Regions from separate parts of the Mus musculus genome. Here regions 2, 3, 4, 5, 6 and 7 are each reported to be linked to region 1. The links are microRNA targets in miRTarBase. Many come from high-throughput screens and were not tested one by one. Region 1 holds a microRNA gene; each other region holds the end of a gene's coding sequence.

Evidence for each region. Region 1 holds the annotated microRNA mmu-miR-136-5p (ACUCCAUUUGUUUUGAUGAUGG, at 2,225-2,246, opposite strand). A microRNA usually pairs through its seed, bases 2 to 8, with sites in the 3' UTR of a target mRNA and lowers its output. Matches are read on the target gene's strand: a 7mer-m8 pairs with bases 2 to 8, a 7mer-A1 pairs with bases 2 to 7 and ends in A, and an 8mer does both.
Region 2: the mRNA of Sh3rf3 is a reported target of mmu-miR-136-5p. Seed matches in the 3' UTR shown: 7mer-A1 at 706-712.
Region 3: miRTarBase lists Slc17a6 as a target of mmu-miR-136-5p. The part of its 3' UTR that is shown has no 7-base or 8-base seed match.
Region 4: the mRNA of Oxr1 is a reported target of mmu-miR-136-5p. Seed matches in the 3' UTR shown: 7mer-m8 at 1,164-1,170.
Region 5: the mRNA of Acadsb is a reported target of mmu-miR-136-5p. Seed matches in the 3' UTR shown: 8mer at 1,109-1,116.
Region 6: miRTarBase lists Acaa2 as a target of mmu-miR-136-5p. The part of its 3' UTR that is shown has no 7-base or 8-base seed match.
Region 7: the mRNA of Kdm4c is a reported target of mmu-miR-136-5p. The part of its 3' UTR that is shown has no 7-base or 8-base seed match.

Annotation. Positions count from the first base shown.
Region 1 is chr12:109,593,402-109,597,576 of GRCm38, reverse strand. It overlaps Mir136 (microRNA 136), which reads right to left and starts at 2,250; the gene lies at 2,189-2,250. Rtl1 (retrotransposon Gaglike 1) reads left to right here. Exons shown (of 2, transcript NM_184109.2): 2 at 2,089-4,175. The coding sequence starts at 2,174. Mir434 (microRNA 434) reads right to left here and starts at 3,071; the gene lies at 2,978-3,071. It overlaps Mir432 (microRNA 432), which reads right to left and starts at 2,621; the gene lies at 2,547-2,621. It also overlaps Mir3071.
Region 2 is chr10:59,135,447-59,139,621 of GRCm38, reverse strand. It overlaps Sh3rf3 (SH3 domain containing ring finger 3), which reads right to left. Exons shown (of 10, transcript NM_172788.3): 10 at 706-3,802. The coding sequence ends at 3,634. Among named protein-coding and RNA genes, the nearest start is that of Gm23223, 58 kb to the left of the region's middle.
Region 3 is chr7:51,668,585-51,672,759 of GRCm38, forward strand. Slc17a6 (solute carrier family 17 (sodium-dependent inorganic phosphate cotransporter), member 6) reads left to right here. Exons shown (of 12, transcript NM_080853.3): 12 at 441-2,542. The coding sequence ends at 776. Among named protein-coding and RNA genes, the nearest start is that of Gm33136, 46 kb to the left of the region's middle.
Region 4 is chr15:41,858,527-41,862,701 of GRCm38, forward strand. It overlaps Oxr1 (oxidation resistance 1), which reads left to right. Exons shown (of 17, transcript NM_001130166.1): 17 at 632-2,522. The coding sequence ends at 767. Among named protein-coding and RNA genes, the nearest start is that of Abra, 9.1 kb to the right of the region's middle.
Region 5 is chr7:131,444,072-131,448,246 of GRCm38, forward strand. It overlaps Acadsb (acyl-Coenzyme A dehydrogenase, short/branched chain), which reads left to right. Exons shown (of 11, transcript NM_025826.4): 11 at 166-2,140. The coding sequence ends at 236. Among named protein-coding and RNA genes, the nearest start is that of Gm39099, 16 kb to the right of the region's middle.
Region 6 is chr18:74,805,239-74,809,413 of GRCm38, reverse strand. It overlaps Acaa2 (acetyl-Coenzyme A acyltransferase 2 (mitochondrial 3-oxoacyl-Coenzyme A thiolase)), which reads right to left. Exons shown (of 10, transcript NM_177470.3): 10 at 3,207-3,559. The coding sequence ends at 3,475. Among named protein-coding and RNA genes, the nearest start is that of Acaa2, 28 kb to the right of the region's middle.
Region 7 is chr4:74,404,231-74,408,405 of GRCm38, forward strand. Kdm4c (lysine (K)-specific demethylase 4C) reads left to right here. Exons shown (of 22, transcript NM_144787.2): 22 at 591-1,634. The coding sequence ends at 767. Among named protein-coding and RNA genes, the nearest start is that of Kdm4c, 150 kb to the left of the region's middle.

The DNA.
Region 1 (4,175 bases):
ACTAAAGGTTTATTCTGATATCCAGGCATATTAAAATTTTTAGGACAAGAGATTTTTGGTTGAGGGCTGGAAAGCAGAAATATCTAATCCCTTACATGATCAAATTTGTCTGTAATATTTTAAGTATAGGCATTTTATTTAGAACGGGTATCATTTAGCTTTAAAATCGGATTGCTGCAAATTTAAAAATTGAAACCATGAGCAATTTTTAGGTGGAGACCTGCTGAGATTTTTATGTCCCGCAGATGAACTTGGGGATGAATTAGTCAAATTTTATATTTTAATAATAGACGACTTTTCCTGAAAGAGGAAATAAGTTGATTTATGTAATATGCTGTGCATGTTTCTGAGCTGATGGTCTGTACAGCAGGCTCAGGACCTGTGATCTCCAGTTCTAGGAATGAGAAGCCCAACGTGGACATTATGCTAAGGCCTTTCAATTTCAGCCAGGAGTTTTTTTTTTTTTTTTTTTTTTTTTTTGGTAAGTTTACATGTCAGACATGTTTATATAAAAGGTTTGGATTTAATATTGCCGACAGTAAATAAACAGTGAGAGGCTTTAATCAGAGGGGTTGCATGATCGAATTTAAGTGTCATGCTAACAAGGAGATGTCTAATTCTGAGAAACTGCAGACCCAAAAGCATCCTGCTGCAAGGTTTGGAGGATGGCCAACGGGAGTTTTACATGAATGACAACATGGGAGATTTCTGTTTATTTGGTTTTGTGTGTGTATGTGTGTGTGTTTCTGTTTTTGGATAGGTCAGCCCAGTGACCTTAAAAAAGAAAATTGAGAAGTAACAGAAGGTGCAGAATTCATAAAGACAATAGCTATATGGCTGAGCTATTGAATAACTAGCTTAATTTGTTTTGCAAACCAATACATCCCTTTAAATTCAATTTCCGTGCACTAAACCCTCCATGGCTAGATTTTCAAAAATTACGGAACAATCAGATTTCAAAGGTCCCATGCCCCCCCTTTCACCCAACTTCATACCTCTGTTAGATATACCCCTGTACCAGACGAAATCAACAGTGACAGAAAAGGGGGGGGGGGCACTTTTGAGAACGAAAACCCTGCTCCTGCCGAAGCAGAGGAGAAACTTGGAAAGATAGCATTTGTGAGACGTGCAGAAATGTTTGCATGAGCAGAATTGAGGCCAGATGTTTAAAGCTGCAGGAGCCCTGCAGACCAGGCAATCCTGGGAGAACAGTTTTTTTGAAAGCCCGGGAAAGGGTGTTTAGAAAGCTCCGACTCAGCTCAGAGCTGGAGAAAACGTGGCTTTGGACAGAGATCAAACCGAACAAGAGAAATGATACTATCCCTCCCCCACCCCCCTCTTATCCTGCATATGCACAAAGTGTGACCTAGGATGAAGCCATGAAAGTGCATGTTTTCAGCACATAGTAGGCATTTTATAAACATTTATGGGGAGCAAAATTAAAACCAAAAGCCATGGCTCTCTCTCACTTATTTCGGCTTGGAGCCTAGAGGAGGAAATAAGAGCTATTTTTGGCTGTTGACCCAACTGGCAGGATAGTGGCCAAGTGCCCAATTTCTCCTCTTTCCCCAGTTTGTGAAATAGCAGGCATCTCCCTGCAGATTCCCGCCTCCAACCAAGCTCACTGGGCTGGCTCTAGACCACCAAGCCTGCCAGCAGCCGCTTTGAGTGGCATTGAGATGTGACCTTTATGACTTTTGGGTGACTACAAATGGGAAGGGAACCTGGCCAGGGCAAAGCGGGCCAGAAGTGTGCCCTGCCAGGTGCTAGCTCGCCACAGAGGACGCTCCAGGCCAGTTGCTCCACAAAATTTATGGGCTGTGAATTTCTCATTCCACTAGAGGAAGTAGGCAGGTGGGGTAGTCAGACTCCGCCTGGAAGGCAGGTCAGGGGGTGACGGTCTTTCCCCTGGAGGTGCCCCAAGTAACCAGAAAAGGAGGCTGAACTGAATGCAGGAGGAATTTCTCCATTTTCTCTCTGATTCTAGTAACTTGGCATCTGCTTTGTCCTTGAGATAGAATCTGACCCTGCCATCTTGAGAACCTAAATTGCTACATTTTCTCCTGTCTTTTATCCCTCTGTCCCTAGGTTTTGGTCTCCACAGTTGCGGTCTCTGACCACACACATCACAATCTTACCAGTCTTCAGAGCACACTCCTTTCCAACCGACGACATGATAGAACCCTCTGAAGACTCATTTGAGACGATGATGGAGCTTAAGAATCCATCATCAAAACAAATGGAGTCCTCCGAGGGCTCATCCAACACCGTTGAAGAGACACCAGGCAGCAGTGGAGCCCAGGCGGGGGCCCAGGCAGGGGCCCAGGCGGAGGCCCAGGCGGAGACCCAGGTGGAGGCCCAGGCGGAGGCTCAGGCTGAAGCCCAGGTTGAGGCCCAGGTTGAGGCCCAGGCGGGCTCAGATAGTGGCCCAGCCCAGGAAGAAAAGGAGCCACCCAGTGGCCCCCTCAAGGAAATGCAAGAGCTGCCCACTAATCTACTCCAAGAAGTGGAGGAGCCATCCAGTGGCCCCCACCAGGAAATGCAAGAGCTGCCCACTGATCTACTCCAAGAAGTGGAGGAGCCATCCAGTGGCCCCCACCAGGAAATGCAAGAGCTACCCACTGATCTACTCCGGGAAGTGGAGGAGCCATCCAGTGGCCCCTACCAGGAAATGCAAGAGCTACCCACTGATCTACTCCGGGAAGTGGAGGAGCCATCCAGTGGCCCCTACCAGGAAATGCAAGAGCTACCCACTGATCTACTCCGGGAAGTGGAGGAGCCATCCAGTGGCCCCTACCAGGAAATGCAAGAGCTACCCACTGATCTACTCCGGGAAGTGGAGGAGCCATCCAGTGGCCCCTACCAGGAAATGCAAGAGCTACCCACTGATCTACTCCGGGAAGTGGAGGAGCCATCCAGCGACCCCTGTGAGGCATCATCTAACGATCTACCCCAAGACATGGAGGAATCAAGTGATGATGGTTCGAACCAGGAGTCGAGTGATGGTTCAAACCACGAATTAAGTAATGGTTCAAACCATGAGTCGAGCTTTGGTTCAAACCCAGAGTCGAGCGATGTTTCCAACCTGGAGTCAAGCGGTGGTTCAAACCAGGAGTCCAGCGATGGTTCACAAAAGGAGTCAAGCTATGATTCAAACCCGGAGTTAAGTGATAATTCAAACCAGGAGTTAAGCGATAATTCGAACCAGGAGTCAAGCGACAGTTCAAACCAGTCAAGTGATATTTCAAACCAGGAAGGGTCGGAACCACTCAGTGAGGCATCCGATTATAGCATGGATGAAACAATCAACTCATCCGAGACCCAGTCAGACCAAGATGATACTGACCTGGGAGATGACGAGGAAGAGGAGGAAGAGGAAGGTGGTGAAGAGGAAGGTCAGCCCAAGAACTCTCCAGAAGAAGTCGTGGCCACCATGGGGAACGTCATCTCGCTGTTCCTCCGGATGCAAGACCTAAAAGAACAACAGAGAGTGGCAGAAAGGCTCATGATGCAGGCTATCAACGAAGGTCGCCTGCCCTCCCTCAGGCCCTTCTCTGGAGATCGCAGAGACTACCATGAGTTTGTCGTGCTCTGCCAGATGACAATGCAGAACTACCCAAGTATGCTATACAATGATGAGCTGCGGGTGAAATTCGTCATCCGCCACCTGACTGACCTAGCCTTGGAATGGGCCAACGACCTCGTAGAGCAGAACAGCCCAGTGATAAACAACTTCTCAGCCTTCCTGGAGGCCATGTCAGAAAAGTTTGAGTATCGGCAGACCCTGCGTGTGGCGGAAGACGCCATGTTCAACATCAGGCAGGGGAACCGCTGTGCGGCCGATTACATCAATGAGTTCCGGGGTCTGATACCCACCTTAGGCTGGCCAGATGAAGTCCTGCAGGCCCACCTGTGCCAGGGGCTCAACGAAGAGATCAGGCACTATCTGTTCCGGATCCCTCAGCCGAATTCCCTAGACAACCTGATTGTACTTGTCCTGCAACTTGAAGAAAAGCTGGCAGAGAGAAGAGCATTACTCAGGCTGCCACCTGAGTCGCGCCCAAGAAGCGTAGCCTGGATGGATGCTCCCGCCCCAGAGAAGTGGAGGGTAAGCAGCTGGCTGCCCAATGAGTTCCACCCAGACATTGATCGCGATCACCTCTTCTTACTGCTCT
Region 2 (4,175 bases), not on the chromosome of region 1:
TCTATAGCTGCTGCTTCTTATCCAACTAGTGGCCGTCCAACGTGTGCTGGGTATAGATCATGGTCAACTTCACTGCTGGCCACAAGTTCTTAGGATCCCTGTGCCCAGTCCTGATAGACACTGAGTCTGTGTCCCCCTGAAGGAGCAGAAGGTGACAAGCGTGAGTGTTGGGGCTGGCTTGGGCTTGCAGGCAGTGCCCTTATGATAGCTTGAATGAGAACACCACCCCGCTTTCTGCTCATATATTTGAACATTTGGTTCCCAGTTGGTGGACTGTTTAGGAGGATGAATTTGTGTGGCCTTGTTGGTGAAGATTTATCATTGGGGATGGGCTCTGAGGTGTCATAAGCCATGCCAGGTCCAGTCTCCCTCGCTCTCTGCCTGCAACTGAGCTCTCAGCTTCTGCTCCAGTCCCATGCCTGCCTGCCTGCCTGCCTGCCTGCCTGCCTGCCTGCCTGCCTGCCTGCCTGCCTGCCTGCCTGCCTGCCTGCCGCCACGCTTCCTACCATAATGATTGGGGATTACCACTCTGAAGCTTTAAGCAAGCTCCCAAGCGTCTCTTGGTCATGGTGTCTCTTCACAGCCATAGACCAGCAACTAAACCAACACCCTCAGTTCAGTGCCCCCCCCCCAGGGCCTGAATCCCAACCTCTCAGGCTCACGCCTACCCCACCTGCATTGGTCCCGTTATTGAGACACACAGCCTCTCCATGTTCATCTTTATTTAAAGACTCAGAAACACAGGCATCAGAGATGGCCACTACTGTCAATTCATCTAAAATCACACACTGACATTGGTGTATAATAAAAACATATGTGGGGTTGGGAGCACACGTGTGCACGTGTCTTTCTGTCTGTCTGTCTCGGTGTGTGTTGTGCAAAGTACAAGGGCTTCCACATCTACTGGGCTGATTTTGGGGTGCTCCGCCTTGTATTTACGCCTCACTATGGACCATCTTGTCTCTCGAGATCCATCAGTCCTCTGGAGGCTAGACTGTCCTGTCTCCTTGCTGACCGTCTATCTGAAGGGCTGAGAACTAAGGAGTGAAACCCACGTGGCCACCAAATACAAGTGTATGAGTAAGGGGCACATGCTGCTGGCCAGGACGGAATGTGAAGGTTCTAGATGAGGTGCTGGCTTCATTTTGGTGCCACAGACGTGTGTCCTCAAGGGAAGATGACCTTAGGAAAGGTACCTCTTTTCTGTCATTGGCTGTGGAAAACATGATTTTTGAAGGCTCAAGGGCTTGGGAGTGTTCAGAATACTCAGACCATGGGGTTCATTGTGTGTCTCAAAAGCCCCACCTGAGAATGAGCCCCAGGGCCCTGCTTCCCTCCCCATGCTGGTCGCAGTGTAAACTTTGCTAGGAGAGGATTCAGCTGATGTTTTCCACGGTACCTTGATGCTTTCCTCTGCTTTCTGTGAGGCTGCTACTTCCTCTATCACGAGGCAGCCAGTGCAAGAAAGGAAGACAGTTCCAAGTGAAGTCTGTTCTGTTGACTCAGAGTTGACCTTGTTTAGAAGGGAAAGGGACTTGCTTCATTGTCTGGGATCTGGAGTTAGCTCTGGTTCCACTGAAAACATGCCTCACCCAGGATGTAGATCTGTGTTACCTCCATGGTGGCAGCACGGAACCATACCTAGATCTTTTGTGCATGGATGGGCAAGTCATTTAGCAGTGACACTGAGTAGATATCATGTGGTTGTCACCGAGCCTGCATACAGGGGTCCCTATGTCTGAGATAGAGCGTCTCTTTGGCTCACAACAGTTTTCTATGTCCAATAAGGGTGCTATCACCTGGGGGAGGGTGAGACCGTCTGGGTGTGATTACATCCATGTGGTAGCCACCCGGCAGTCACAACTAGTTAGTCATATCCCCAGACAGAAACGTTGAGCATAAGTGCTCTTTATTTTATTATGAAAATCAGTGATAGCCTCTGCTACCAAAGACTTGATACAGGGCTGCATGATTTTATAAAAATGTACCCAGAGGCTCACAAATTGCTATTTTTTTTGAGAAATTTTTGAAAAAAAAAAAGTGTTCTTAGAGTGTGACACTCACACCTCCTGATAGCCATCAGGCTAGCCTCCTGGGCAGCAAGCTGTTGTGACAGTGAATATACGTAAGGCCTCAGAGTCAGAGACCAGCCCTCATTCCTTTCCAGCGTCTGCAGGCCCTGTAAGTCTATAGACAAGCATCAGGCTTGTGTTATCACTGTACCTTTGGTCTCTAGCAGATGAGTTTTGCCTGGCCTCAGAGGGCAAGCTATTTATTTTTGAAAAGGAAAAAAAAATCCTTTGCAAGAGAGTGGATCTGAGCTGTTGTAAAAGCTGCATTTTGGTAGAAAGACGTGCTTTCAGAATGCTATTTTTAGTCATTCTCTTTAAAGCAATCAAAGGAAGCTTCTGGGGTCAGTGTGTGTCTGTGTGTGTGTCTGTGTGTCTGTGTGTGTGTATGTGTGAGTGTGTGTGTGTTGTCTATGTATGTGTGTGTGTCTGTGTGTGTGTGTGTGTCTGTGTGAGTGTGTGTGTTGTCTGTGTATATGTGTGTGTGTCTGTCTGTCTGTGTGTGTATATATGTGTATGTGTCTGTCTGTCTGTCTATGTGCATTTTCTGCCACACACAAAGGCAGAACCCACTCCTTCATTTGTTTCCAGTTTTTTAGTCATAGCAATCACTCTCATCTAGATGGAGCTTGTGGGTTAGCTATTTCCAGCCGTTTGGGAAGACGCTCCGACTCCATGCACCCTCTCCACAGACCCTCCCTCTCGCTGCATGGAGCACCAGCCAGCATTGTGATATTACAGATAGGAATTCCTCAATATGCTCCAAACTTCATCTGGGAAATATAGAAAACTTTCCTTTGATGTTACTTCTTTTTTTCCCCCCTTGACACTTACCCAGGTTGGTTTTACAAAAAATCAGCACCAGATGTATGAAAAATATGCAGCGTCTGACCTATTAGAAATATATAAAGTCTAAGAGTTGTACATTAAAAAGGTGTGCCGTAAGAAGGAAGCAGTGTGAAGACAGCGGCGGAGGAACTGGACGGTGCACCTCATTATCCCAGTAGGAGACAAAGACAAGAGGGTTCTGCTCCAGTGCCCCACAGGACCCCACTGGACACCTTGGGAGGCTCACAGCCCTTCTATGAGGCTCCTGAACCATGAATGCCCTGGCGGTGAGGCCTGGTGGTAGGTGACAGAGGTATATAGAGGAATGGTACCCAGGGCAGGCAGGGAAGATGCTCTTCTTGCTGTCAGCCCTAGCACATGGCCCAACTCTATACCCTCCCGGGCTCCCAACCTTACACAATAACGCTTTAGCCGCTGGGTGACAGAGCAGCGCCTTTGTCCATGTGGGTAACATTTTCTGTGCTACTGCTCACTCAGACTCATGGCGTGGTCTTGCAGGACACTCACATGTGCTTCCAGTAGGATGTCACATGAGGATATGGCCTATCTTCACAAACACGCCATGGCCCATGTGTGCTTCCAATAAGGACTTCACGTGAATCATCGGCTTGTTTCTGGCCGGTGCTTTAGAAAGAACCTCGCTCGGACTTTGGTGATAAGGCGGGCATCCTCTGCTCTCTCCAGGACAACAGAAGCTAGCCATGAGCAGTGGTCCTCAGAAGCTCTCCACAAAGCTGCCTGGGAAGAGACCTGTGCGGCCATTCCGCTGCAGTGTCCCCTTGAACCAGCCGTCTTCATGCTTCTTGTGCACGAAGACGATATCACCTTCCTTTAGCTCGATCTCCGCTTCACTCTGTGGAGGGTAGGAGACCACCACACGGTACCTGGGAGGGCAGAAGAAACTGTGTGAGCAGAGGGGTGGGCTTTCCCTCTAATCCCCCGTAGCCCACAGTGAGCTCCCTATCCCCTCCGCCCCTCCAGTAAGTTCTTACAGTGTGCCATTACATTTTATGGTCTGTAAAATTATTTGTAAAATTTCCCAAAGCTCTTTACCTTGTCATCTAACCTCCCTTTGAACAGTTGTTGGTCATGGAGGTATTCAGGGGCCTAGAATAATATAGGCCACTGCCACTGTCACTGTCTGGCATCAGAGCCAGGCCATGGAACTGTAGCTCTAAAGACATCACAGGCTCCAATTGTGGAACATAGGGAAACCAAACTGAAGTAGGTAAGGAAGTTTCTTCCCCATTGGCTAGT
Region 3 (4,175 bases), not on the chromosome of region 1:
TCGGGAGAAATCTCAGTTCAAGACCAGCAGCTCAGTTACTTAGCTACCGCATGCAATCAAAAAAGAGGCAAGAAAAAAAGAGAGAGAGAGACAGACAGAGAGACAGAGAGAGAGAGAGAGAGAGAGAGAGAGAGAGAGAGAGAGAGAGAGGCAAGTCTAGAGAATAATTAATAAAAAGGGGAAATTCTTAAACTCTGCAGCCTATAGGTGTATTTGAAATGTTATTTTCAAAACTTTATCTTAAAATAGAAAATAATAAAGCAAATAGTTTTATTTCGAAGCTGTTCACATGACATGGCTAATCCCAAAGATAGCACTTAGTGCAAAGCACGCTAGCAGAGTGCTCGCCTGCTCGCTTACTCCATCGCTCGCCCGCTCGCTCGCAGGGTGGCTTTTCGGTTTGGGGATTTGCTCTCACACCTTTGCTTTTCTCACCACAGTCCCGTGAAGAATGGCAGTATGTCTTCCTCATTGCTGCACTCGTCCACTATGGTGGAGTCATATTTTATGCACTATTTGCCTCAGGAGAGAAACAACCTTGGGCAGACCCTGAGGAAACAAGCGAAGAAAAATGTGGCTTCATTCACGAAGATGAACTGGATGAAGAAACGGGGGACATCACTCAGAATTACATAAATTACGGTACCACCAAATCTTACGGTGCTACCTCACAGGAGAATGGAGGCTGGCCTAACGGCTGGGAGAAAAAGGAAGAATTTGTGCAAGAAGGTGCGCAAGACGCGTACACCTATAAGGACCGAGATGATTATTCATAACGATGCTAGTTGCTGGATTCATTTGTAGTGTTTGTGAATCAATTAATTGTGATTGCACAAAAATAATTTTAAAAATGTGGTGTGAACATGTAAACATATCAACCAAGCAAGTCTTGCTGTTCAAAAACAAAAACAAAAAAATCTGAATTCAAAACAGACCATGAGATTCCCATCAAGTGCAATCTGTGGCAGTTGTCACGTTATGCCGTCTTCATTCAGGCCATTTGTCCTTTCGTTTGTGATTTAAAGGTTTCCTGTAGAAATAAGTAGGTATTCGTTGGACCCATCACCATTTTAGAGAGCACAACTACAACAGTTGGCACATGTCATCCTACAGAAGTTAGGAAGCCAAAGCTACTGGATCATGCAAACTGCACTTATTTATTACACTGGACTGCAAACTATCCCAGGGAAAGCCTGTCTAGAGACATAGTGGAACAGGAAAGATGGCTAGATCAGGTATTGACTATAATCATTATGTGTCTATCATGGAGTGGCTATATCTTTCAATGAAGAACTATATTGTGTAGCTAGCAAACTGTACTGAACTCTTACTAGGAGTGCACAGTGTGTGATATTTTGTGATCTTCCAAAAGCTTATCTTGCAGTGTTTTGTGAAATGCTTGGGCACAAACACTTATTTTTATGAATGAGAGCTTGTAAAGGGAGGGGTATGCTCCATGCTCCCCCATTCACTACCTGACAGTATCAAACCCTTCACATTTCAATAAAATCCAACTTTCATGTAACATATCACATAACTTTTTTTTTTTGCAAAAAAATAAGAAGAAATAGACTTCAATGTATTTTTTATTACAACTTTGTACTGGTTGTAACTTGCATTAGGAAAAAATGATTAATATATGTATAATCATAAAGAATCTAATAAAAATTTACTATGATGATATAGCCCTTAAAATGCAATATTAACAAAATAAATAGAAAATTTAGATAATCTTCCTTGATAACTAGAGACTATATGAAACTCATGCCACAAAGCTATATATAATATGAAGAGATAAACAATAGAGATTCTATATGTAGACAATTTTATTACCTAATGTCCCACATAAGAGATATTTGTCTTGAGTATATAGTACAAAATATATTAAAATTATATCTACATCCCTGTATATCTTATACATATCCACTCACACGAACATAACAAATACTTTTCACACAGAACCAAAAACAAGCATACACCTAATGTTGGGTTTGGGGATTGCAATTTCTACTTTCATAGAGTCATAGAATTTTAGATGGAAAAAAAAAAGCATTTTGCTCGTCATTTCTTAATATAATTCAACAGGAACTGCAACATTTGTGTACCAAGCAATAAGTGCAAAGCATAAAACCTCCTGTGTGTAAATTATCCCCATGTTGCTTGTGGTAGCAGTGATTTCTTTCTTTTAAAAAAGTTAACCTCAGAGCTCTTTCTAATGTTTTGCGCTGATAAGAATGCACATCCCAATTTACTGCAAAATGTCACCTGGTGTGTTTACCTGTCAGTTTTGGGTATTTGATCTGTCTGGTGTCCTGTGCTCTTGACTGGAGGCCCTGCTACTGCAAATATACAATGTGAAGTTTGTTTCTAAATGCAAACCACTCCTGACCTTAAGAAACTGAAGTCCCTCTCTGCTTTGTGTCTCAGAGTACTATCATGTGACCATAACCTTTGCTGTGCTGAGTAAAGAGATGTGAACTGTCATTTTGTTGCTGCAAAACAAGTGTTAATAAAATGTTCTATTTACCCTTTTGTAAAATCAGTACATTATTTCCGGTGTGGTTTGGCTTGTCGCTTTAACATTAGGTAGCTTACGCATGTTCCAGTGGTGCCAAATATAGGCTCAGCAGTAACAGACTTGCTAGTTAGTGCCTTGGGATTTAATCCTCTTCTTTAGATGGGAGACCTGATTCTGTAGGCAGAGTTTAAGCTCAGAAGTGAGACTATGGGTCAAACTCTATCTTTCAATAGCTGTGTCATCAAAGCTGCTGCGAAATTTAAAGCAAAGTTTGGAAATAAGTTTCAACTTGTCAGTTCAACACTGCCAAAGTACTTTCATTGGCCACAGAGCCTGGGCTAGGTACTGCCAGTCACTTTTAGTGACTGTCCCTGATGTTATGTAAACCCACAGTGGCTCTCTAAAGCCCGGTATCCATATATTCCCAGTTTAGAAACAACAAACCAAGAGAAGCTTGAAAAGTCTAATTCTGCAAAAAAATAAAATATAGCTACGATGTTAAATGTGTTAGGCAAACTATTCAACAGTGAGGAAGACATCTGATGGAATATGTGTATCACCTGAAACACAGCCAGAGCTCAGAGTCTGTATTTTAGAGACGTGAAAATATAAGCTTGTGCGATGGCTCATAATCTATATGGAACCTAGCGAGAGTCAGGAGCTGGAGAGATAGCTCAGTGCCTAAGTACATCATGCTTTGCCACAGGACCACAGTGCTGTTCTGGGCACTTACATTGGGTGGCTCACAATCACCTGCAATTCAAGCTCCATCCAGGAGAAGTGGCAACCTCTTCTGGAATCTGTAGGCACTTCTCTCACATGTTAGGTGTGCTTGCCCATACAAACACACACACACACACACACACACACACACACACACACACACACAGAGAGAGAGAGATAAAATCTTAGTTAAATATTTAGAATCTGTGTGTGAAGTGACCATAAAATCAGATCCCTGATACCGTACTGCTCAAAGGACTTGTGTGATGTGTTAGTTGACACTGCTGTTTAATAGCTGAGAACACTGGAGATCTGCAGGGAGGATCAGACTTGGTCAAAGTAACACAGCTATTGCTATAATAGTTTGGTTTATAATTTGTTTTAGTTTTGAAACAAATTATAATTAGGTGAGCTATGATTATTTTTAGCCCGATTTTCTTTAAACAAGTTAATTAAATAGGTATTTGTCAGTTCAAATACCTGAAAAACCACCATCTCTAGTTACAAGTGAAGAAATATAGATTCCCCTTCCACATCATCATCACCATCACCATCACCATCATCATTATCATCTGCCTGAAGAGACAGACACCAGACCCAGCCTAATGCTTAAGGTAGCTCACATGCTGTCACTTTATACCTCAAAGAAAGCTAGCACCATACACTCACTCAATTACACTACATAAATTTTGCATTTTCTCTAATTATATTGTTTCAGTGCTGTCTCCAGCTAAGTGGCACCAATGTCCCCTTCATTTCTCTCATCTTGGTCAGACAGTCTCTGGCTTCTCTTCTCCTTCTTGTCACCACGATGTACATCTGCTACTTTTCATTTCTGACCTACTTTCCATATCTTCTCTTGTTTTAGTCTCATATTTATTTCTAAAACTGAAAGGCTTTTGTTGTTGTGGTGGTGGTTGTGGTTGTGGTTGTG
Region 4 (4,175 bases), not on the chromosome of region 1:
TTCTGTCTTGCTCCTACTGCTTGATGAAGGATCCCAGGACCATGTCTCTTTATCTGTTTAAAGTCTTTTCCATGCTTTGCTACAAAAACAAAACAAACAAACAAACAAACAAAAAGCCAGTGTTGTTTTCTCACTGTTAAAGAAGTATCTGAGTGGACACTCTGGTTGCTTGTCCTGGTTCTGTTTTTAGCAGCAAGCTATTTCTTCCTAAGCATCTAGGGTAGATAACTCAGGGTTGTTGTCCTACCTTTATCATTAACCCTCATTTTAACACCTGTAAGAAAACCAAATTACAAAACCCTAAAACTGTACAACAAAGACAATGACTTGGGGGTCAGTGGTAGAGCACTGCCCTAAGAGAAGGAAAATAATATAATTGTAAAGAAATACTTATACCAAGTGCCAAAAAGTAATTATAATATGAAATAAGTTTTAGTGTTCTTAATTTGAGTAATAAATGATTTTATAATGGAAAGAAAAACAAAAATCTTGTGCCAGTCCCACAAAGAAAAGGAATAGGGGAAGGTTTAGAGAAGTTTATGGCCTGGAGCTAGTGGACATTGAAAAACCCACTTAGTTACTTTACAGTTAAGGCATGAATGTTGATCATTGTTGTTTTGATGTATTTCAGAGGGGAATTTGCTCTTTGGCTTGATGGAGATCTCTACCATGGAAGAAGCCATTCCTGTAAAACGTTTGGGAATCATACACTTTCTAAGAAGGAAGATTTCTTTATCCAAGACATTGAAATCTGGGCTTTTGAATAAACACAGTGCTCTTGGTTGTAGCAGGACATCGGCCCAAACCTGAATGGACAAACGCATCGTTTGGAATGTTCAAGAAGCAATACAATTAATATGTCACTCGTGCTTTAAAGTCAGTCTGTTTGGCCATTTACTGCAACTATAATTTTGGAGTTTATTTTTCCAATCCTGTTTCTGTCCCAGAGTTCTTTTGTTTACACCATGGCCTGGGATCCAGTAGTGGGATCCAGTAGTGTAACAGCGGGTGGAATTTGTCAGCACAGTGCAGCATTTGGATCATAGAGGCCGCCACCTTTTCAGTTCACGTCATCTCAGTCCTAACTGGATGGTGCTCTGTTCAACTTGTTTTTAATCTGTATTGATTCTTTTTATAGAGCAGTGTACTCGGGGCATTGAGGAAATGGAGCCTAGATACTTTTGTATCTGGTGGAGTTGGCACAGGTGACATTTGGGCCTACTTACATTTAGTTCTAAATAAGAAACCACATGCCAAAATAATACATGCTTCATAGACCTCTTCTAGTTCTAATTCACTACAGCATTCTCTTTATTCATTTTGTAAACATTCTCTATTTCATTTTAAGAATGAAATTGGAGGGGCAGTCTGATTGGCATAGACCACAGCGCACACAGTCTGCAGGTTTGGGCGCATGTTTTCATCACTGAATAGAGGAGAATTGACAGAGGAGAATGGGAATTCAATGATTCTATTGGATTTAATATATTAAGCAAGTAATACTATTTACATATTTGTAGCTTAATAGGGCATTATCATAAGTACAAAACTAAAACGTGCATATTTCTTCAACATTGTGTCAGATACACTGTTTTACAGTTCTCTTGTTCAGCCTTGTTGCATACCAACTACCCCAAGACATTTTTGTTTTGTTTTGTTTTGTTTCTTCTCAAAAGGAAAAAAAATTGTTTTGAAATAAAAACGTGTTTTTTTCTAAGTGGTATATGTTATTAGTTACCATTAGCATCTGCTCTTATAAAAGGGCAGTGACTGTAGTAGACAATACTGTAATTCAGTAGACTTGGTGAATGTGCAAGCTTACTGTCAAGTGGCCTCAAAAACGAAAAGGTAGAATAAACTAGCAATTGTATTCTTTCTTGTAGGAAACCAACAATAAGCCATGTGGCAACAATTCGTCAGTTAAATTTCAGAGCTTCATGTTATGCAAAAAAATAAATCCTGCTGTTATACGTGACAGTGACATTGTGCTGAAAATTCAGCTGTTCCACACAAATGTTGTATATCTTGTAAATTGATGTCTAAAGATAGTTTTGTTCTTATAGAAAGTGTTGACTGCCAGGTTGCTTATAGCACTTTAAATTATTCTGAAGATGAAATTACCAGCCAAGTATGTTGGCTTAAGTAGTTTTAGTTATATAACTCTTAAAAATACCTAGTTCTTTTGGGAACAGTTTAGATAATTATCTAAAGAAAACATACTATTAATCAGAATCTCTGGTGTTGTATGACACGCTGTTGCTAAAGATGAATAGAAACGGCATCGTTTCCTCGTCTGTGTAAAGCTCTCATTACAAGTTAGGTAATAGTGTCTAGGTTAGAGGTTTATAATATAATATAAGGAACTGTAAATAAATGTACCCTTCCTATTAGTCTTCCACAGCAGTATTATTGTCTTTGTGGAGGTGACTAAATCACAAAACTTTAAACATCCTGTAATGGATTCCAACTACAAAAAGGACATAGAGATGTATACCAAATAAAATTAAATGCATAAATGCAAATGAGTTTGGATTTTTTCAATGACCAAGTCATTTCCATATCTAAGAACTGGTAATAAGCCTACTACAACCTCCTGACATGTGCCCTGCAACAGGAAGTAAGAGATTTGAATTCAGTTAGAGGAAGCTCTGCTGATGAAACATGTCCCAGCAGAAATTGCAAGGGTTTGATGAGTTTGAGCTGCTGGGGGAGGGTAAAGAGTACATAACAGACATCCCAGGATCCTGAAGAGCCCCATGTCCAGCACCAAGCAGTTTCTCATTGTTTAATCTCATGGAGCATTTGAGAATATTGGAGTAGAGGAATAACATGGACAGAAGCCTCAATAAGAAAAAAATTAAAGAAAGAATAAAAAATGAAAAGAAGTATAGATATCAGCATTTAAAGATAGCTATGAACAAAATACAGTGTGTGTGTGTGTGTGTGTGTGTGTGTGTGTGTGTGTGTGTGTGTGTAATTTGTATATGTGTGTATATATGTTTATATGAAATGCCCAGAATATGGGTAATCTCTCGGACAGCCTTAGGGTTTTGACTTAAGAACTCACATGTGTTGTTATCATCTTGCCAGTGTACCAAGAGGAGAAACTGAGCGTGTAGATAATGACTGTTCACACCCTACTCCCTAGCATGGTATGAGGAAAACATTTAATGTTCTGCTTCAAAATACTAAGGCTTTAAATGAATAAGATAATATTCCTGTGGATGCAGTGCCCCTAGAGATTTTAGACCTGATTTAAAATAGGGTTCTTGAGATAGATCCTTTTACTTTTTCATCATATAATATTGACCAGCATACGAAAAGGCTCTGAGCTTCCCTCTCAAGTTAAAAGAAAAAGAAATTGTACCTAAAGCAGGTGTGACAAAAAATACATATAAAATAGCAGAAGTCAATACAATTTTAAAAGGATGAAAAACATAATCTGAGAATAATCAGTTTTTACTTGTTAGAAAAAATTAACAAAAAACAAAAATAACTAATAAAATGACTACAGGTTTCATTAACAGATGGCAAGAGGATATTTGTGAATATCTTTGTATTAATAAACTTGTTTGTGTGTGAAATAGAGAAATGTTTTGGAAACCATTTAAGGCTGGTAAAAGACGAGATAGGTAGGTAGATAGGTAGGGAGAGAGAGAGAGGGAGAGGGAGAGAGAGAGAGAGAGATACCCACCCTAACAAACAAACTAAAACCATACAAACCATTCCAGGCCCAAGTAGTAATTCTTGGTATTTAAATAAAAACTAACAGTAGGCTTAGGTAGGAAGTTTCTTCTTGAGACCAGAGTGTTCAAACCTTACAAGTTTTGAACTAGTAAGGGAGGTGGTGAGGCAGAACAATCGCTCCATGAACAAGGAAAAGTTATAGAAGTAACTGGCAATTCTCAGGAGACTTCAAATAACCAATAATAGCCATTTCAAAGAGAATGTGAGCTTGGAAACTTAGCGATATCAACTAAAGCCAAGCATGCACTTATCCTTTGACCAGCAAACTTAATTCCTTCCTATGTGCCCAATGGCAGCGAGATGCCACCTATTTATAAGCTCCTAAAAGCTAGTATAGTCTGGTAAGATGTTTGCCCTTCTCTGCACTCACTTCTTGTCATTCCTATAGAACATTGATTTCAGTATTTCTTAATCCCCTTATTCTCAAA
Region 5 (4,175 bases), not on the chromosome of region 1:
CAGATCAAATGGGAAACTGTTACCCTGTCAGAATCACTTTAGAAACTGAATCCTGTTACTGAGAGCAAGTGCAGGGGTGCTTGGTGTCTTCCATACTCATCTCTGTGCGGTTCTCTTCAGCTGTGGGCACACTCCTAATTGTCCCATTTCTCCCTGTTGTTTAAGGTACAATATATGAAGGAGCTTCCAACATCCAGCTGAACACCATCGCCAAGCACATCGATGCAGAGTACTGATGACTGTGGGATGGGCCCTCTGCGTCACTGACAAACCATTTCCAGCTGCTGTGCCTTATTGAGCAGGGTCTAGAGCAGTGCAGGGCTTCCTTGGACTTCCCTTGTCCTGGTCTCAGGCCTGGATTTTGTTCCTGTCTCTTTCCAATCTACTCTAAGTCTATTTCTAAGCTTCTGAACGCATATTTCTCATCCTAGTTGCAGAGTATACAAAAGTTTCACTCTAGCAGCATTTGGGAAGAAGAAACCATTTGAGGTATTGGTATTGCTGACAGAAATAGTCACTTTATATTCCTACTAAATCTTTGTACTGTGGTATGAGCCAGAGGAGCGTTTGTTACACTTGGCAATTTTTATTCAATACTTTATAGATTCAGTGGTAAGTGGCTAAACAAGGTAGAAGCTGATAAAATTTATTTGGAAAAATCTAGAATCTTAGTTCTAAATATCAAAAATAGTAGAAAATAAAAAGTGTAGCTTGTAGGCCATATAATTGACAATAACAAAAAGTCCCAAATGTTATTTTAACCAACAAAAGGAGTATGTTTGGCTGCTATAATTGAACTATATGAAAGATGTATTATGTGGTGGCTTTTAGCAGCCCATTTAAAAAACATGTCCCTGTATTAGTTTTCAACTATAAAGTTTAAGTAATTTGGCCTAATCATCTGAAAATAATTTATTAGATCATGCACTATTTTTTGGTAGTATGATTTATTTCTGTATTTTAATTGAGTATTTTCCCTCAAACTTGGTTATTGGACTTTATCCTAAATAGTAATTAATTGAGAAATTCAATTTTGGTTTTCAAAATTGATTCTTAAGAGAAATATACCCCCATAAGAAAATAATATCACAATCTCATAAGGATAGGGAATGGAGACTTGGTAGTCTGAAAACATACATTCAGTATAAATATATGTAGTCATTTATATAGTATATTAGATAATTTTATATTTGTGAAGACAAAGATCTATGTTTTACAATGTAAATGAAAAACAGGCAAAGCCTAATCAGATATCCAGCTGGTGAAGCCATTGATCAGTGTTAGGGATTTACAGTCGGGAGAAGACGCTCTAGTTGCAGACCCTGAGTCCCCTGGAGAGAGAAGTAGACAGTAGACAAACGAGTCGCACATTTCCAGAGGAAACATCACAAGTTAGATGTGAAAAATGCCCGAGGCTCACGCAGTTGCTGGAAATAATCGTTACTTCTAGATAGAAAGTATTTTGGTGCTTTTGCAAAAGGATAATGTTTATTAAGAAACTTGACATTTTCTAGGTAATTTTGCTTTGCACAGTTAATGTTTATTGAGCTAAATTAATTTCCACAATGCAAATCATAGTTAAATATGCAAGGTTGTATAAATACAGTTGAAATAGGAATTACATTAAAACAGTAGGAAGAAATAAAACAAATTTAGACCTTGAATCCAAAGAGATAAGGTCTACTTGACTTTCAAATGGGGGAAATGATGAAAGGCCTCACCCAGTCTCAGAACAGACAGATGAGTGTGATAAGAAAGGAAGGGGTGGATGCAGACCCTGACAGGGCAGACACCTTCCACTCCTGTAATAATGGGAAAGAGCAGGGCTTAGAGATGATGCAGCCGCGGGAGTCAGGATGAGTAAACAGCCTGCCCTCCTTTCCTAGACTCATGGCAATCCTCCTGCTTCATGTGTAACCTGGGCTGGCCGCAGATTCATGGCAATCCTGCTTTCAGGCTTCCAGTGCTGAGATTTTATGTCTGCACCCCAGCTCCCATTTCTGACTTGTTGATTTTGAAGTCATGCCCACGATTACAGCTTTGTCAATTATTCTCATTTATTTCTATTTGTTTTGCTCTATGTAGTTCCCAGTTATGTTTTTAGGGGTAATAAAGTTCATGGCTGTTGGATCATCTTGGAGAATTCTCCCTTTTTATGAGATATTCTTTAAAATTAGTTTTGTCTTTATTTCAGTTTTGTTAAATATACAGTTATTCCTATTTTTGTTTTTATAGCATTTGCAGTCTTTTCCCATAACTCCAACTTTCTTGCTTTAAATATTTTCAACTTCATGTAGCTAGGATTTAAACTTTCCTTTTACCTCATCCTTAGTCATCAGGACAGAAGGAAAGAAACTTCCCCCAAGTCTCTAGACCAAGAACGAGGTGCCTGCTTTAAATTGAGTGAGTGAGCTATGACTTGGGCCAAATCCAGTGTACCTTCTATCCACACTGCCTATTTTTGTCACAGCCTATAACAGGTTTCTGTGCTATAAATGGGTAGTAAAATGCATGACATAGCTTCAAATAAGAACAGGTTTCTGTTTAAGCAGTATGTAAATAACACAATGTCTTTGACGTTGACTTTTGCTACAAAGCCTAAAATATTTACCTTTTGGCCCTTTAAGGAAAAGGTGTCCATTCAATGACTACCTCTGTGTCAGATTTCTCTTAAGGGGTTAATCTGTCAAACCATCAGGGCAGAATACCAAAATACAAATTGACAATGAGCTATACTCACTCTTGATTTTATTTGTAATTCTACTCGCTCCCTCCCTCCCTCTACAAACACATTCTTATCCTCATCCTGAAAAACTGAATTTCCTGCTGGGTGGTGGTGGCTCACACCTTTAATCCCATTACTTGGGAGACAGAGGAAGGCAGATCTCTGTGAGTTCAAGGCCAACCTGGTCTACAGAATGAGTTCTCTGACAGCTAAGGCTACTCAGAGAAATCTATTGTCTCAAGATAAGAAAACAAACAAACAAAAAACTGAAATTTCCCAGCTTGTTGTGGTGGCACAGGGTCGTAATCTTAGCAGTCAGGAGACTAAGACAGGAATATTATAAATTTGAATCCAACTGACCTCAACCCCATTTCACAAAACTTTCTAAATTCCTGTGAGCCACTGCTGTGCAGGTCTGGAAATGGACTGTGGCTGCCTTATCTCCAGTAGCCCCTCATCCATCCTTATATCCTCTCTCTCAATCCCTGTTTGTCGGCTTTCACTTTTGTGGCTGAGTTTCAATGCCTAAGTCCTCCTTGTTACCCTGAATTGGTACTCTGCTCTATCTATCCCAACTGTGATTTCAGATGGCCTTCCTGGAAGCCTTGCTCTGCCGGAGGCCTCTTCTCCTTGACTGGCTTCTTCTCCCTTCAGTGACCACTTCCATCCTGATGCTGCCCATGTATCCCACTTTTCTTTCCAACTGGCTGCACTATCCTCTAGAGCAGTGAGGATATCCCTTCCCCCTTCTCCCTGCTCACCAGCCCACCCACTCCTGCTTCCTGGCCCTGGAATCCCACCAGCAGTAGAGGGGTGTTTCTCTTCCACCTCCTTGCCAACATCTGCTGTCACCTGAGTTTTTGATCTTAGCCATTCTGACTGGTGTGAGGTGGAATCTCAGAGTTGTTTTGATTCGCATTTCCCTGATAACTAAGGATGTTAAACATTATTTTAGGTTCTTCTCAGCCATTTGGTATTCCTCAGTTGAGAATTCTTTGTTTAGCTCTGTACCCCATTTTTTAATAGGGTTATTTGGTTTTCTGGAGTCCAACTTCTTGAGCTCTTTGTATATATTGGATATTAGCCCTCTATCAGATTTAGATCTTTGGAAAAGATCTTTCCCCAGTCTGTTGGTTGCCGTTTTGTCTTGACAGTGCCCTTTGCCTTACAGAAGCTTAGTCATTCTGCAGAGAGCCCAGCAGGCTTTGGAAATTTGAGTTGAAGTGCCAGAGAATTGAGGCAGAAAACCTCACATGAAGCCTTTAGTAAGGGTGGGATGATCTAGAATGCTTTTCAAAAGGCTCATTTCTAGAGCCAAGAGTCCTCTGGTTGGGCCTCAGGCCTGGCAATCTGTCTCTTTAGAAGCCTCCCTAAGAACTTCATCAAACTAGGGCTGGAAAAGGGTTCTCAAAACAACTCTTATCCCAAAGACCCCTTTTTCTGTTTCTAT
Region 6 (4,175 bases), not on the chromosome of region 1:
CCAAACATCATCCACCCACCATGCATTCTAGAGAATGAACAGAGACTAGGAGGTCAATACAAACTCCTAACAGCTGGAAGGTCACAAGGAGAGACAGTGACAGGGACAGAGAGCCAGCCTGCGATCTAAGGATAAGTAGGCCTATGGGTTGGTGGGCCAGAAGATATAGCAATCTAGACTGAGCAACTAGACACCAAGACCCAGAGCTTAAAGTCATGTGGAAGGTGGGCAGCCAAAAGGTAGGACTGAAGCACAGGGAGCCAGAGGACAAAGATATGGAGTAAGAGAGAAGTAGGGGCCAGAGCATCTTGGGGACCGAGAGTCTCCAAGTGTGGATCTCCAAGGTCTAGATTTTATCCCATGTGTGGCAGAAAGCTGCTTCAGGGTTTAAGCTGTGTGTGTATGTGTCCTACTATGTACAGTTAAAAGATGACTGTGACAGTTTGGATATGCTCAGTCCAGAGAGTAGCAAGCACTATTAGGTGTGACCCTGTTGGAGTAGGTTGGCCTTGATGGAGTAGGTATGTCACTGTGGGTGTGGGCTTTAAGACCCTCATCCTAGCTGCCTGGAAGCCAGTATTCTGCTAGCAGCCTTCAGATAAAGATGTAGTACTCTCAGTTCCTCTTGTACCATGCCTGCCTGGATGCTACCATGTTCCTGCCTTGATGATAATGGACTGAACCTCTGAACCTGTAAGCCAGCCCCAATTAAATGTTGTCCTTATAGGAGATGCCTTGGTCAGGATGTGAAAGAAAATAAAACTTGAGACCTGTGGTTCATGTAATTTATGTCAAATAGCCCAAAGAGTTGTTAGCTTTGAAACCTGGGGCTGAGAACATAGCAGAACAGGCCAAGACATGCCTGGGCAGGCCCGTCGTTATAAGACATTCTTGAGGCTGCTAGGCCATGAAGATAAAGAGAATGACTTGTCCGGACTGGCCTGGCACCTCCCTATCTCCCGCCCTTCTGACCTAAGTTAAATGTTATCTGCATGTACAGTCTGCTGATGTTTAAATGGACCAATCATGTGAAACCATGCCAATTCCTCCCTACTGATTTTTAAATGAACCAATCATGTGAAACTGCACCAATTCCTCCCCCATCCCCAGCTCCTTTTCCATAAAAACCCCTAGCTTCCAAGCCTCATAGTCGAATCCACTGTCTCCTGCGTGAGATACGTTTTGACCCAGAGCTCCGCCATTAAACTACCTCATGTTTTTACATCAAGACGGTCTGTTTGTTCGTGATGCTTGGGTGCACGGCCGAATCGGGAACAGAGTGGGGGTTTCCCCACTAGGTTCTTTCAGATGTCTGTTCACAGTAGTAAAACCCTAATTAACACAGAAGTTGGTACCAGGGACTGGGGTATTGCTGTGATAGGCCTGACCATGCTTTCGTTTGGAAGAATGTGGATTTTGAGACTTTGGATTTGGAAAGCAATGGAAAGCTTTACGTGGGGCTTAATGGGCTACCCTAGTAGGAATATGGAAGACTTTGTTACTGAGAGTGATTTGAATTGTGTGGACCAGGCCCAAGAGGCTTTAGTGGAGAAGAATTTCAGTATGTGGCCTAGAGACTGTTTTTGTGGTATTTTGGTGAAGAATGTGGCTACTTTTGCCCTTGCCTGAAGAGGCCGCCTGAGGCTAAGGTAAAGAGATTTAGATTAATTGCTTTGACATAGGAAGTCTCAGGAACACCCATCATAGACATTGACCTTGGTGGCTTGTTGGAGAATGAGTGAAAGCAGACAAAAATGGAGGTAGGAGCTCTTGGGAAAGGTAGATGCTACTTATTCTTCTCTTGGTGTGACAGAACATCATTACCAAGGCAACCAATTAAAAAACATTTACTTTTGGGGGGGGGGGCTCATGGTTCTAGTTTTAGAGTTCATGGCCATCATGGTGGGGTACATGGCAGCAGGCAAAACCAGCTGAGAGCTTACGTCTGATCCACAGCACAGGGCAGCAAGAGTAACTGGAAATGGGCTTTCGACACCTCAGTCTACCCCAGTGACACATCTCCTCCAAAAAGCCCATATCTCCCAATCCTTTCCAAACACTACTACCATCTAGGGATCAAGTATTCAAAACATATAAGCCTACCGGGCCGTTCTCGTTCAATCCAGCACAGTAGTCCAGGCAAGGGGCTCTTGAGGTCGACAGTCTTGAGATATGCCCTCAGAAGACTTGACAACATTTACTGCTGTGTGGGGGAGAGAGTGGGGTCCAAGGGATTACCGGGTTTTTGGAACTAAGAGGACCTCAAAGGAGGCACATAAGTGGGGTCTAAAAACAGCTACTGAAGCCGAGCGTGGTGGTGCACGCCTTTAATCCCAGCACTTGGGAGGCAGAGTTTGAAGCCAGCCTGGTCTACAAAGTGAGTTCCAGGATAGCCAGGGCTACACAGAGAAACCCTGTCCTGAAAAACCAAACCAAACCAAACCAAAAACCCCAGCTACTGAGCAAGGCAAGCTTAAGATGTCTATGAGGAAGGTCAAGGGGGCAGTTCCATGGAGGCCCTGGAGCAAGGGAGAGATTGGTACTGGGTTGTAACTAATAACAGTGCCTCACTCAACATCTGTGAAGTTGGTGATGGCTAGATAAGACATGTGCAAAGGAATATTTACCACTAAAAATGTATAGAATTCTGACATATGCTACAACAAGGGTAGATCCTGAAGGTGTTACACTAACTGAAATACTCAGTCATGAAAGGTCAGTGGGTTCGCTCACATGAGCTTCCCAGAGCAGGGAAGCATGCAGAGACAGAGAATAGAATGGTGGTTGCTCAGACTGTGAGAGGGGAATGGAGAATCATTTCTTAAAATGAGAAGGGGGGGGGGGAGGGGCTGGAGAGGCGTCCCGTGGTTAATGAAGTCACTGCACATCGAGAGGTCCAGAGCACCCACAAAGGACAGCTCACAACTGGGTATAACTTCAGCTCTGGGAGATCTAATGCCCTCTTCTGGTCTTTGAGGGTATCTACAACACACATGCCCATACCCAGGGACACATGGCACATAAAAATGACACATTTTAAGAATAGAAACAGTTTCAGCGGTACAAGATGAAAGATCCTGACAGTAGGCAGTGTCGCTATTGGCACAGTCCTGTCAGTGTCCTCAATGGTACTGAACTGCACGCTTACAACCCGGTACAATGAGACACTTTATGTAATTAAAAAAACCAACAAGAAAAGGTTAGCTGGAGTTAAGGCAACATTTATTCAGTTTGTATTACTCCATGGAAGGCATACAGTGGTGACTACTGACAGATACCATTTCTCTTAAGGCCTCCGATGGTTGGTGTTTTTATTCTAACACGTCAGACAGGTATGAAGTAGACAGAACCCAATGCATCTTGCCTCATCAAGGCTTGGTCACATACAATCACTGTCTCAGCAGGGCTGACTCGAAGGTCTCCTGTGTTCCGTGGCCTGGCCCAGTAAGTGTGGGCAGTGTGCTTGTGATGCCTTCAGGCTGTGTTCTGGATGATCAAGGCGATGCCTTGGCCACCTCCAATGCAAGCTGATCCCACTGCGTACTTTCCACCTCGACGCCTAAGAAAGGATAGAAAAGTCGCTACTGGGGCCAATAAAATGGCTCAGCAGGTAAAGGAACTTTCCACCAAGCCTGAAGACTTAAATTCAATCCCTAGAACCCACGTGGTGGAAGAAGAGAAGCATTCTCCTGCAAGCTGTCCTCTGACTTCCACACACATGCTGGGTGGCATGTGCAATTATATGTGTGTGTGTGTATTATATATATACATATATATATATATGTATATATATATATATACACACACATATATATGTGTGTGTATGTGTGTATATATATATATATACACACATATGTATGTGTGTGTGTATGTGTATATATATATATATATATATACATATATATATATGTGTGTGTGTGTGTATATATATATATATATATATAATTGTAACAAAAGCCACCATATAAAAAGAATTAGATTAGTTAAACAGTATTAACATTCATTCTTACTAGCTCATCTTCCAAGTCCCTTCCCCAATCCTTAATTTTGGTTTCCGGCGACAACAGATGAAAGAACTCAGAAAGCAGAATATTCCTACTGGAAAATGAGAAAATCTCAATCTCTCCCTCCCTTCCCGCCCCCCCCCTCTCTCTCACGGGAGACAGGGCACTGGG
Region 7 (4,175 bases), not on the chromosome of region 1:
ACATCAGAGAGGTTGCTATAGCAAGAAGGGGGAAGGTTTGCTATAGGCCCAAGATTCTGTCTGATGACATTGTTAGCTTTGGGGCTGGAGGGAACTAGTGATCTGCTAAGTTAATGGGCTCCAAAAAGTTTTTTATCTGTAAGTCACAAGATGTTAACTTGCAACACAGAAATAGGAAAGCATGGGTGGCTCTTCTGAGGGGCTAGAGCTAGTGATGAGCTATTAGACCTGGATCATTTTAATCTCACCACAATACTTTCTCAAAATCTAATTAGTCAATCAATTTCTATAGACATAGCTTCTTTTTAGGAGTTTTCATTTACAGCAGACTCAATATGAGAAGACTTTAATTTTGCTTTTGTTTGGGGAAGCTTCCTCAGGCAGGATAAAGAAATTGGGACCAAATAGAGCCACATATCTCTGCCATGTGGTATAGGTGAGACCTACCTGATGATGAAGACACTGTAAGACACTGTGGTAGGTTCCTTCGACCCTGTGATAGATCCTAGCCTCTGTTCCCTAGATCTGTATGTAGTGTTTCAGTAATATATTTCTCATTTATACACTCAATAATGTATTTCTGCGTTTAGTCCACAGCCTCCGACATGCGATTTGAAGACACATTTTATGGAGCAGATGTAATCCAAGGGGAGAGGAAGAGGCAAAGAGTGCTAAGCTCCAGGCTCAAGAATGAGTATGTGGATGACCCTGTGTATCGTACTTTCCTGAAGAGTTCTTTCCAGAAGAAGTGTCAGAAGAGACAGTAGTTGATAATGTGCAGCAGCCACAGTGCAGCTCAGACCAGAAGAGGGAAGACAAAGGGACAGCCTTGGGGTACACATTGGGACAGGTGGCTGGGTGCTTCTTTGGTATTGGTAATAAACCAGGCTTCTGGAGTTTGATTACCAAGCAACCAAGAAGAGACATATTAGTTGCTTCTGTAATCTGATCACCCCTCAGTCATTTGTTTGACCCCAAAGAATATTCCTAAATTAAAGGAAACAGCAGTGAATGGCCCACTAGATAAAACAACTGCTAAAGAAGCGGGGTTCCCTCTCTGGCTCAGGTCCCTTCCTCAGGGAACACATTTGGAGGCTCCTTTCCCACCTCCTTCAGTGGCAGCCTCATCACCCAACAGCCGGTGGGTGTATTTATATATATTTTCCACAGCCAGGGAAAGAGTCTCACTCACATTTGTTTTCAGTGGCAGTTTTTATAAAACATTTTTAAAACACAAATGGCATGTATGGTAATAGGATTTACCTGTATGCTATCTTCCCTTGTACAGAACTTTTCCATTTTTTATATTATTACTTTTGATTGTGTCTGAAAACTGAGTTGGCCTTTATAAGAGGAAATTTTTTGCTCTTGAAGAGGAATTCATATGAAGTATATGGGAATTTTATATATTTACAGAGGAAAAATCTTGGCCTGATATTTTGAACACTTCATAATTCCTGTTCTGAAATGATATTTATAAAATATATATTTCTTTCATTATGTGTTTGTAAAAATTAGAGTTTAAAGAAATATACTTAATGCATAGTTTTAAACTAATGTAACATGATTTTTCTTTGCAAAACAGCCTGGAGATGTATTAATATTTAAAAATTAAAATCTGTTTTCTCCTGTCCCGTCTTCTGTCTGTCAATTTTCTCTAAATTAAAACACCCCTTATTTGAAGGAGGGGGTTGCTCATGAAACTTCAGAGGTGAACAGAAGTCTGCTTTTACATGACTGCAAAAACAGAAACTGGGAAGGTGTTCAAAAACCCCTTACTAGCTTGGCAAGTAGACTTTGACCAACCAAGATACAAAGGAGAACATGATACATTTTGTAATGCAGTGGCATGATGCGGTGGGAAGGGGGTGCCTCAGCAGGTCCATGCTGAAGCACCCCCCACCGTTCCTGATGTACCAGCCATAGGACCATGGGTCTACTATAAATGAAGTTTACTTGGAGGTATGAGAAGTGGGGTGAGAAGGGACTGAGGGAAAGCGGACAGAGGGACAGAAAGAAAAGAGAGAGAAAGAAGGGAAGAGACCAGTAGGAACACATGGAAAGGTATAGAGAGGAGGGAGAGGGAACAAACAGTCCTTTGATTGCAAGTTAGGCTCCTACCTGACTGTTGCTAGGTAACTGTTGGACAGAATCTAGAAAAATTGCTAACAGTGTATCACAGGACTACCTGAGATGTACAGAGTTTCAGGGTTGCAATTTTTGATTCATCCCTCTTTTAACCCTTACCCATACTCCTCTTAACAACCTCATTAAAACTCATTGGTTAGCCAAGTTGTATGCACTGGTCTATTGTGGATTTCCCTTTCTGGAATGAAAAGGTGTATATGGTCCCTGCATGTGTGTGTGTGTTGCATCTCTCACACAACAGGCTGAGACAGGATCATTCAAGTCTAGTGTATGGGGAAAACTTAGTCTCCAAAATTCCAAAGCAGAAAAAAACAAGTGTTATTGGGGAACTCTGAACACATTTTGTGGCCCAGGCTTTTCAGGCCCTCGTTTTATAGCTAAGTACCTTCATGACAGTATTACTGAGAAGAAAGTATCCACCTATCTCCAGCACTAGCTGAGGTGTTGCCCCAACTTCTAGACCTTTAATTATCTGAGTCCCTTCAGTGTGGAGTGAACCTTAGTAGTCTCAGTTACATACATTCATTTTACAAATGAATGAAAGACAGGAAAGGAAAGGATGACCCCAAAGCATACAGAACAAAAGAGTATACATTTCTATTCACCTGCGACAAAGGGAACATTCAGTTTGCTGATAGGTCTTGAAATTGGGTGACCTGTGATGGACTTGGCTTAACTCCCAACTGCTTCCTATCCCTCTCAATTAGCTAGCCTGGATGTAGTCTCAAAATAAAAATAGACAATGGAGCAAGTAGGCCCAGATGGAGTTCATTTCAGTTCCCATGTGAGGAGCCTCCACGGAATCTCCCAGATCCTAGGTGAGGAGTCACCCCAAATCATGGATTGATTGGGCATTTCAACCATTTCATGGCAAAGGGTGCAGTATCTGCTGTTACCGGGGACAGAGTGAAGTACCAAACCAGCAGTGACAGCCTCAATTAAAACAGTGCTCATTTTCTGGAGTGACTCATGGGATGACCTCAAAGCTAGAGCAAGCCCACCAACCTAATCTCACAGGGATTGACACTAAACCTTTTCTGCTGCCATAATGGGTTTATTTTAGAAGGCTATCAGCCTTGAATTTTCTGTCTTTTAGGTTTTAAATGGAAGTGAACTCTTTTTCACAGTAGTGTAAGATATTGGGAAAGAGTTAATCTAATTAGAAACATTTGTTGTGCACAAGTTTTCCTGACAGCAAAATTTCAGATTGACTGTCACAGCAGGAAAATGTACAGATTCGTGTATGATCTCAAATATAATTTTCCCTTTTAGTCTCACTTAAATAATGTTCTATAACCAAGAACAACCAAATATATTGCCTTTGCAAAGTCCTGGCCACAGATAGACTTTTGTTCACTGTGTTCTTCATAAACTAGCTATTAGCTCTCTCACTAGACAGAACATTAAAACTTTTCACTTACTGTCTGACACTTCAATTGTAATTTTAATTCCTGTGTATTTACGCTAACTGCATGTTCGGTGTGTTCGTGTAGCAGAAAATCAGTTAAAGTCCTCCTACTGATTTATAAATTGCTTAGCTGTGACAATTCTAATGTAATACTAATTGCCAGCCATTTCTCTGCAGGTTAAGAGCTTAGTAAAACTGGTTGGCATATTTCACAATATTTAATTCTTTGTGTGCTTGAAATGAAGACATTGTGATCATTGTCAGTTGAATTTTTGTTTTTAATTCATCTAGAAAGAAATTGAGTGCAAACATCTGCTGAAATACCACTTGACTTCTCAGATTATGTTATTAATTTCCACTAGTTATAGAATAGTACAAAATCATGTAGGAGAAAGCAGGTGGGATGCAAGTGCTACTTACACTTTTAGGAATAGGGGTCTAATATGAAACAGCCTCCATCTCGGATATAAATCAGCCCCGTTAATTCAAAGGTCACCAGTAATCCTAAGGTATTCTCAGTACATTGATATTTTCAAGCCTCACTGACTACAAAGTTTCTGAGAATTAAGTGTTCAGTCATCCAAAATGTTTACTGCTCCCGTTGATTGCATGAATCGGG